Linked DNA regions of Drosophila melanogaster. The protein of the gene in region 2 interacts with the protein of the main gene of each other region in a pairwise test. Each region holds a gene or a part of one and is shown on either strand. Other genes may lie near its edges.

Region 1 (3,933 bases), on a different chromosome or scaffold from region 2:
ATGGGGCCAGGCAATCGACTCTGAACACTTGTCTGAACTCACCGAGGAAGAGGACGTCACCTTTACTCAAGCGCGCGATCGTTTTGGGCGCATGGATCGCAAGTACTTTATTCCGTTTTTTACACGTCGGTTCAATAGTCAGGAATTGCACGAGTGCAAGTCACAGATGGCCGACCTGACTAACAAGTGGTACCAAGCCATTCGAGTGAGTCCATTGGATTCAGATGAATCGGACGAAGAGATAGGACTAGCGGCCAGCACAAGTCAAATTCATTTGACACGGTCGTAGGGATTAAATGGCTGTTGTGGGGGGAGCTCTGTATCCGTTTCGGACTGTGTTGGATAACTTTAGAAGCCAAAGGGAACGATCGTATGTAATGCTTAAGTTCCTCTAGTTAATATTTTTAGAGTTTTTATTTATATAGCGCGGTGATGGTTGTTATCTTGTGTATATTTTTTGTTTACAAATTTTCATTTTGTAAGATCCAAATGCAATGATTCATTCGTATCACTGTAGCTCCTTTATTAATCCGCTTAAAGCAGTATTACATTGCACACGACAGATGGTCTTCAAAATGAAAATTTGGACGTCACAAAAGCACACTACGTCAGTAATTTTAGTTAAAAATATTTATTCATACGAATATATGCTGTATTTGTGATTTTATACATTTTTGAAACCAAATAAATATCTAAGTGTGGTACGTGTAAAAAAATATGGTCATGCCCTGCTTTTTGAAATTCTAATTTATAATTACATATCAATTGATAATATTACCTATTAAAGTAAAATTGGCTACAAAAGGTGTGCGTTTTTGGTTACTTTTACAATTCTTCGTGCGTGGACTCTTCACCGAGCACCGTGGAGTTTGAATCACTGCGGACTGCAAACGAAGTACAAAAATCGTTAGATGTCTTGGGGGAATGTTAAAAGATTATGCTTTTCAAAACGCTCGTGTATATCATAAAAGGAAAGCAATGTTGACATGTCTTTTGACTTATAAAGACTTCATTATTAGTTCCTCCAACTGTTTTGTATCTATTTCGGGTTGGTGGCCGCCTCCTGCCTCCGAGTTGATCCAGTACTCGGAAACAGCAATGTACCCTGCCACTGCCGCCCCAACAATGCAACCCCAGGCAATATGAGTAGAGCTCTGGAAGATGACACAGGTGGCCACGCACATTCCGAAGTAGGTGAGCATTCGCGTAAAGCTTACGTAGTTGCTGCGTTGCTCCGCAGAAATATCTTAAATGATCGGAGGCGCAATACATACAGTGGACAATGCGTTGCTTAAAAGCAAATTTATTAAATTTCTGTCTTACTTACCATGACACTTTCCTTCCTTCAACTCATAGCCATCCGCACACTTCCTGCACATGTCAGGGCCATCACCATCGCATCCATCGCAAGATCGATCACACTCCAGGCAACTAAAGGAGCCCTCATTGTTCACGCAGAACTGCTGTGGTCGGCAAGGGTTTGGACGCTGTTGCTCCAAGCACTCATTAATGTCGACACATCCTGCCTCCGAGTCCATGCTCCAGCCCTTCTTACACTTGCGGCAGCTCTTGGGACCACCTCCCGTGCAGCCTCCTTCCCCACAGGCCGCATGGCACTGTGTACACAGCAATTTCTTTTCGTCACGGAATGATTCGTAGTGCTCCGGTCCACATTCGTTGCAGTTTGGACCCGCATAGCCGGGATCACATTTGCACTTTCCGTTACCCTTTCTAGTTCCGTCTCCTTTGCATTTTCCTGAAATTTGTCATGTGGGTAAAATTAACGAAGACGGCAATCTTAAGTTGACACACTTATGTAAGTTGTGGCCTGTAATACTTGGTTATCATTACTTACCATTTCCATTGCACTCGGTGCAGGTCAGGCAGTCTGGTCCGTAGGTGTTCAGCGGACAGCAGACTGTTAGCTGATCGATGCAAAGCCATGACTGCAGGTCGGGACTCTCTGTTTGTTTGTGGATAAACCAGTCCTCGAGAAGCGCCTCGTGCTCGTTAGCCAGGTTGTGGCAGTGATCCTTGTTTATCACTTCTCCTTCCGAACATAGCTTCTCCTGGATCTCCACTAGCCGTACCTCGCTGTTCTTGTACGAACGCAACTTTTCCTCCTCCCATGCCGTGTCCCCGCCCGCGTGTCCGCGTTTTGTCCTTTCGAGTCCTGCCCTGAAAGAGCTAACAAGCTGGGTACATGCCCTGCAGGGCGGCGGAACAGGCTTTTCGGGAGAATATGACGCCGAAGCAGCGGCTATGAATACTAGCGTTGCGAGCCAACAATACTTGATTCTCATTTTTATTTATTTATTGTCTTTTTAACCGGCAAACTATCTGAGTTTACGTGTAATTAAAGCCGACACTATCGATAAATAAAAACATCGATAGTATACTCGAAAGTTTCGCGAATACCGATAGGTCGCGTTCGATACCATTGCCTCACGGAGCTCACTCTTAGTCAATCTAACAACCGTTAACGACCCATGCGAAATTCGAGGATTATCATTTTCGAATACTTCCCTTTTCTGGTAATCGACAATTAAATTTTGTTGCTGTAGGATACGATTTGTTTCACTCACTTTAACTGCACCTCCTTGTAGCTTGAAACATGTTGCTTTAACTATTTTCGTAAAAGTAAAAAAGTGTAAACTTTATTTTTTTCGCTTTTTAATATTTTGCTTAATCTATTAGATGCATAAAAAAGTTATGCTATTACATTAGCAATTATAGAGATCGATAATTTAAAATGTAAGATTTACTTAAAATAATCCGATACGCTAGACATGAAAGACCAAAAGTATGATAATTTGATTGCAGACTAAGTCGTGTGCAAGAAGTTACCATTTCAAAGGAGTACTTTTGTTGTTGTACGCGTTGGCCCTATTGGATGTATTTAGAAAAGAAATAAAAAATTATATAAGTTAATGTTTACTTTTTGCACTGGTGGTTTTTAATATAGTCATATAGTAAAGTAATATCTATATTAGGCTGGATTCTATAAATATCTAATTAAGCATCTTATGTCTATTATTTAGAGCACTCCGTTGAGGAACAAAATAAGAAAGACATGAGAATTTTAATACATATGTATACACAATGTAACTTTCCTTTTCACTGTATAACAATAAAAACTTACTTGACAACGCCATGATTCTGAACTGATGTAAGAGTAATAAAGGGAGTCAATCGTTCAATGAACCGATCGTTGTTACGTTCCAGTTCTCGTTGGTAATCTTTTTGATCTGAAAGTATTAGATTGCGATTCTTTTTCAAAGCATCAGCACAACGCTTTGAAAACTCGCGAAAGCACAACCGAAGTTTGTTTTGGTGTTTTGTCGGTACAGTTGTTCCGTCGGATAAATTGGAAAGGAACACACTCGCCATTTCCATCGGTCCTTGGTTAACAGTGGTTCCAATACATCCCTGCAGTACCATTTGCAATATTTTGGGGTCTGCTGGCTCTTGATTCGTGGCAGCTGCCAATTCCAATGTTTTTTTTTGAATATCCTAGGCAATAACGTTTAATTTTATTAACTTTTGGGATTTTACAACATAACTTACTTCAATTGCCACTTCAATCGGTTCCAGGACTATTTGCTGTCGGCTAATTACCATAATGCGAGTTTTTACGTATGGAAAGTGATTCGCCGTGGTCAAAATCGTTTTCCGTTTACACTGCTCATTTAGTTCGCCATGTGCCTTTCCATTTTTAGTAAAAGGCGTGGCATATATAAAACGTTCTGCATAAACCAAAAATGTTAAAATTATAATTTTAAATTTCGATTTAAATTATCTGTTTAATTCATATCATACTTATATTGAAATTCCGCTCAAAGTATGTCTCACGATGACGCATTTCATATGTTTCAAAGTAGGGTTCAACATAAGTAATTTGAATGTAAGCCTTATCGGGATCCAAGCTATTAA
Region 2 (3,933 bases):
TGAAAACCCCAAGTATCGGGCTTTCCTTCAGCGAACTATTAAAGAATTCGAGCTATCTGGATTCTTGGATGAATAGTGACAAAGGGCTAATGAAGATTGCGTTACATTCGATCAAAAGTATTCGGGCTTCCACATACAGTAAGCTTTCCAGACAAATATTCCATGAGTATTTTACACCCAAATTAAAAAAAAAGAAAAATTTAATTTGATGATACGTTTTGTTATTTAATTTAAAGCAAAAGGAAACCCTAAAAAATTACATGGTTCATATAGTTGCGATCAATTAGCCATGCAATATATACACATTTTAACTGATAGCTTTAAAAATAGATCAAAGATCGTTAAAGTATCCCATTTCCTCATATTTACCCAAAAGCTTTTTGACATCTTGAACATAAGGGTCATAGAGGTATGATTTTTGTCTGATTTCCGGATCTTGAATTAACTCGTGTATTTTAAACGTATTCGCTTTAACGGCCACAATCATTGGCGAAAAAGTGGTTAAAAGGAAGAAGTCTGTAAAAATATTGAAGTGGTTAGGCTTATTGAAACTAGGCGATAAATAAAATAGGCACTTACCATAAAACTTGTGTCGGTGTATTTGCTTCCACAGACCATCATTGGTCGGCATCTTGCCCTTGTAGCCAACTTTTTTTAACGTGTCCTCCAAAACCGAAAAATAAAAGTTAATAAGATCCTTTCCGAGATCCCATCGCTGCTCTGGCTCCATGAGCATGTACACAGAATAACTCAAATCGATTGTAATGGGACACAGGTTACAGATTTGGAAATCTACAAACATGACCTCCTCATTTTTATTGAACATCATATTTCGGCCATGAAAATCTCCGTGACACATCACGTAGTATCCATCGGATTGAACGTTCTTGCGATATTCCTGCATTACATCACCCATACGCTGTATGTAGTTCTCTTTTATTTTCTCAAAGTGTGGCTTGTACTTTGTAAGTTCAGGAATCTGGTCCATCATTTTCAAAAAGTTGTCCATTCCAGTAGTAACCATTGGATCCGACATAATAGAAGGCATTTCCATTAGCCCATACTTGAAGTCTTTCAAGATATCAGGTTGCTCATTCAAGACTTTCATGCTAACAGCATGCCATTTGGCCAGTTTGGAGAAAACATTTTTGTATTCGTTCATGTTTATTGGACGATCTCGGATCACGAAGTATCCCTGCGGCACCAAATCCTCGAATATTAACACCTGCCGAGGCTCTAGACTGTGGTAGATACAGGGCACAAATAGCTTTGTATCGTCGCCTGCCTCCCGGAGAATTCTCTCGAATTCGGGCAGAGCCTTAGTGTAAGCATTAATCTCGGTGGAGAACAAATGTGAGTCGCTAAGCATATCCTTCTTGTGTCCTTCTTGTTCTGGCATCGTTTTAATGATTAGCGGCTTACAGAACTTTCCTTTCGAAGTGGTATACTCAGCAGTAGTACGGAACATTACGCTTGCGTAGTGATCTCCCTGGGCACTCGCCGGAGTGATTTTAAGATCGGTAACCTCCAGTTCCGGACACTTTTCGTAGGTTCTAAGAACGTCAGTAATAAACTGGGCATTCAGCCATGCAGGAGCCTCCAGCTCATCGGCATTAAATTGCTCGGTATCTGCGTTTTCTGGCATTTTTATTTCGCGCTCTCAACAAACAATTCGGAATGATGTTTGATCTGGGTATACTAAACCTTCCTATGTGCCCACTTATTATAAAGGCTGGCTAAGTGAGCTTTCGAAAGCGGCTTGAACCTTTTAACACGAAACTTTTCGATTTTGTGTGAAATACGTCTACTCAATGATCTTATCAATATGCATTGAAATCTGTTCTACAGGACAAATACTGTGATCAATAGAAACTTACAAATAAATCAGATATTTATTCTGTTCTATGAAATAATATTTAGGTCAGGTGTAAGAAGTATAAAACGCTAAAAATGTTTAATGTTAGTCCAGCTTACTGGATTATCAAATGTTTGAAGACGAATTAAATTCAAGTTTGCCCGATTTTATACAATCGTGATACAGATTTTCAAAATAACTATGTTGTTTCACTATAACTATATTTTCGAAACTGCATCTTGACAGAATGTAAGACGTAAGACCGTAATCCTTATGGCCATGGATATGCTTTTAGATTCCTGGAAGGGAACATATCTCCCTGAAGCCCACTTTTTTCAGTTTGATGTTGGAGTAAATTGGGACAATGGTATTGGAGCGCATATGTGTAGCTGATCTTGAAATCACTACTGCCACAAAGACCTCTGTTTCCTTGTTCTATTCTTTAACATCGTGTTCCGAACATGATTAGGATAATGACTTTTTTGATTACTGAATGACACATTGCCAACTTTAAGTTTATAATTTAACAGCCCTATCCGTCATGATGTGAAGTCATGATGATGTCAGCAATATTAATAAAACAAATTCCAAGATTTTATTTATAATAATAATATACATATTTGGTAAACGCAAGAAACGGATTTCAGTAAATATATATAAGCAATAAAATAATAAATGTATGTTTTAAATGTTTCTTTTAGAATTTCGAAATCAATAGCGGGAAAGAACTTTACCTTGAATGCATGCAACTTTACACGTATATGTTTGTTAATAACGAGTGCAATTATGTAGGTAAATGTGAAGTTATTTTTTTATTTCAATTAATTTTATACAATCGGATTAAAGATCTTTAAAATATCCCAGTTCTTCGAATTTTCGCAATAGCATCTTGACATCCGTAATGTATTCATCCAAAAAGAAAGACTTTTGTTTCGTTTGCGGATCAAAAAATGAATCCATACTTTTAAATGTTTTCGTATTCATGGCAGCCACCAGGGGTAGAAAGCTGGTCATCATGAAGAATTCTATAACGATGTAACAAGGAATAAGCATACAAGTCAACAGCTGTCTTTCAATTTTAGTTCCTTACCGTAATCCTTATGGCCATGAATATGCTCCCACACTCCTGTCTGAGTTGGCATTTCACCTTTGAAGCCTATTTTTTTCAGAGTGTCCGCCAGAACAGAGAAATAATAATTGATATATTCCTTTCCAAGATCCCAACGATCCTCCGTATCCATTACCATGAAGATGGAGTAAATTAGGTCAATGGAAAGGGGGCAAACATTACTGATCTGGAAATCCACCAGCATTACGTCCTCGAAAGACCCTGTTTCCTTGTTATACCTAAACATCATGTTGCGCCCATGAAAATCCCCGTGACACAGCACGTAGTACCTATTTGGCTTCGGATTAGTGCGATATTCTTCCATGACTGCACTCATCTGCTGAATGTAGTTATCCTTTATTTTTTCGAAATACGGCTTATATTTCGTGAGTTCCGGAACCTTGTCTAACATTTCCAGGAAACAGGGTACTCCAGTTGTCACTATAGAATCGTTCAGAAAGTTGGGCATGCCCCATAACCCATACTTAAATTCCTTAAGAAAGTCAGGTCGCTTGAAAAGAAAAGTTCTTACTTTGTTATCTTTTGCAATGGATGGTGCACTAGTTCACCTCATTTAAAACTTTCATGCTGGCTGCATGCCACTTTGCCAACTTGAAGAAGGCTTTCTGAAGTTCTTCTTTATTAGGATAACGATCTCGGATGACGGTGTACCCCTGTGGCACCAGATCCTCGAATATCATCACCTGATGAGGTTCCAAGCTGTGATAGATACAAGGCGCATAGAGCTTGGTAGTATCCCCTGCCTCCCGGAGAATTCTCTCGAGCTCTGGAAGAGCTTTGCTGTACATTAAGATCTCCGTTTTGAATATCGGCGAATTTGACAGCATATCCTTTTTGTGACCTTCCTGTTCCGGCATTGTTTTAACTATCAGTGCCTTGGAGAAATTCCCCTTGGCGGTGGAGTAGTGGGAAACAGCTCGGAACATGACGCTGGCATAATGATCTCCCT

Evidence for each region.
Region 1: the proteins of CG11893 (region 2) and Creld interact in a two-hybrid assay, tested with the Drosophila melanogaster proteins (one large-scale study listed by BioGRID).

Annotation. Positions count from the first base shown.
Region 1 is NT_033779.5:100,829-104,761, reverse strand, and holds Creld (cysteine rich with EGF like domains), read right to left. Parts: upstream 2,383-3,933; 5' UTR 2,304-2,382; coding exon 1,856-2,303; intron 1,757-1,855; coding exon 1,328-1,756; intron 1,247-1,327; coding exon 999-1,246; 3' UTR 885-998; coding exon of another isoform or gene 826-884; 3' UTR 620-825; downstream 1-619. Other genes in the region: Nhe1 (Na[+]/H[+] hydrogen exchanger 1), read left to right, coding at 1-289; Zir (Zizimin-related), read right to left, coding at 2,844-2,886, 3,143-3,513, 3,568-3,746, 3,820-3,933.
Region 2 is NT_033777.3:25,287,639-25,291,571, reverse strand, and holds CG11893 (uncharacterized protein), read right to left. Parts: upstream 1,684-3,933; 5' UTR 1,646-1,683; coding exon 580-1,645; intron 517-579; coding exon 332-516; 3' UTR 206-331; downstream 1-205. Other genes in the region: CG31098 (uncharacterized protein), read left to right, coding at 1-76; CG13658 (uncharacterized protein), read right to left, coding at 2,696-2,880, 2,946-3,474, 3,533-3,933.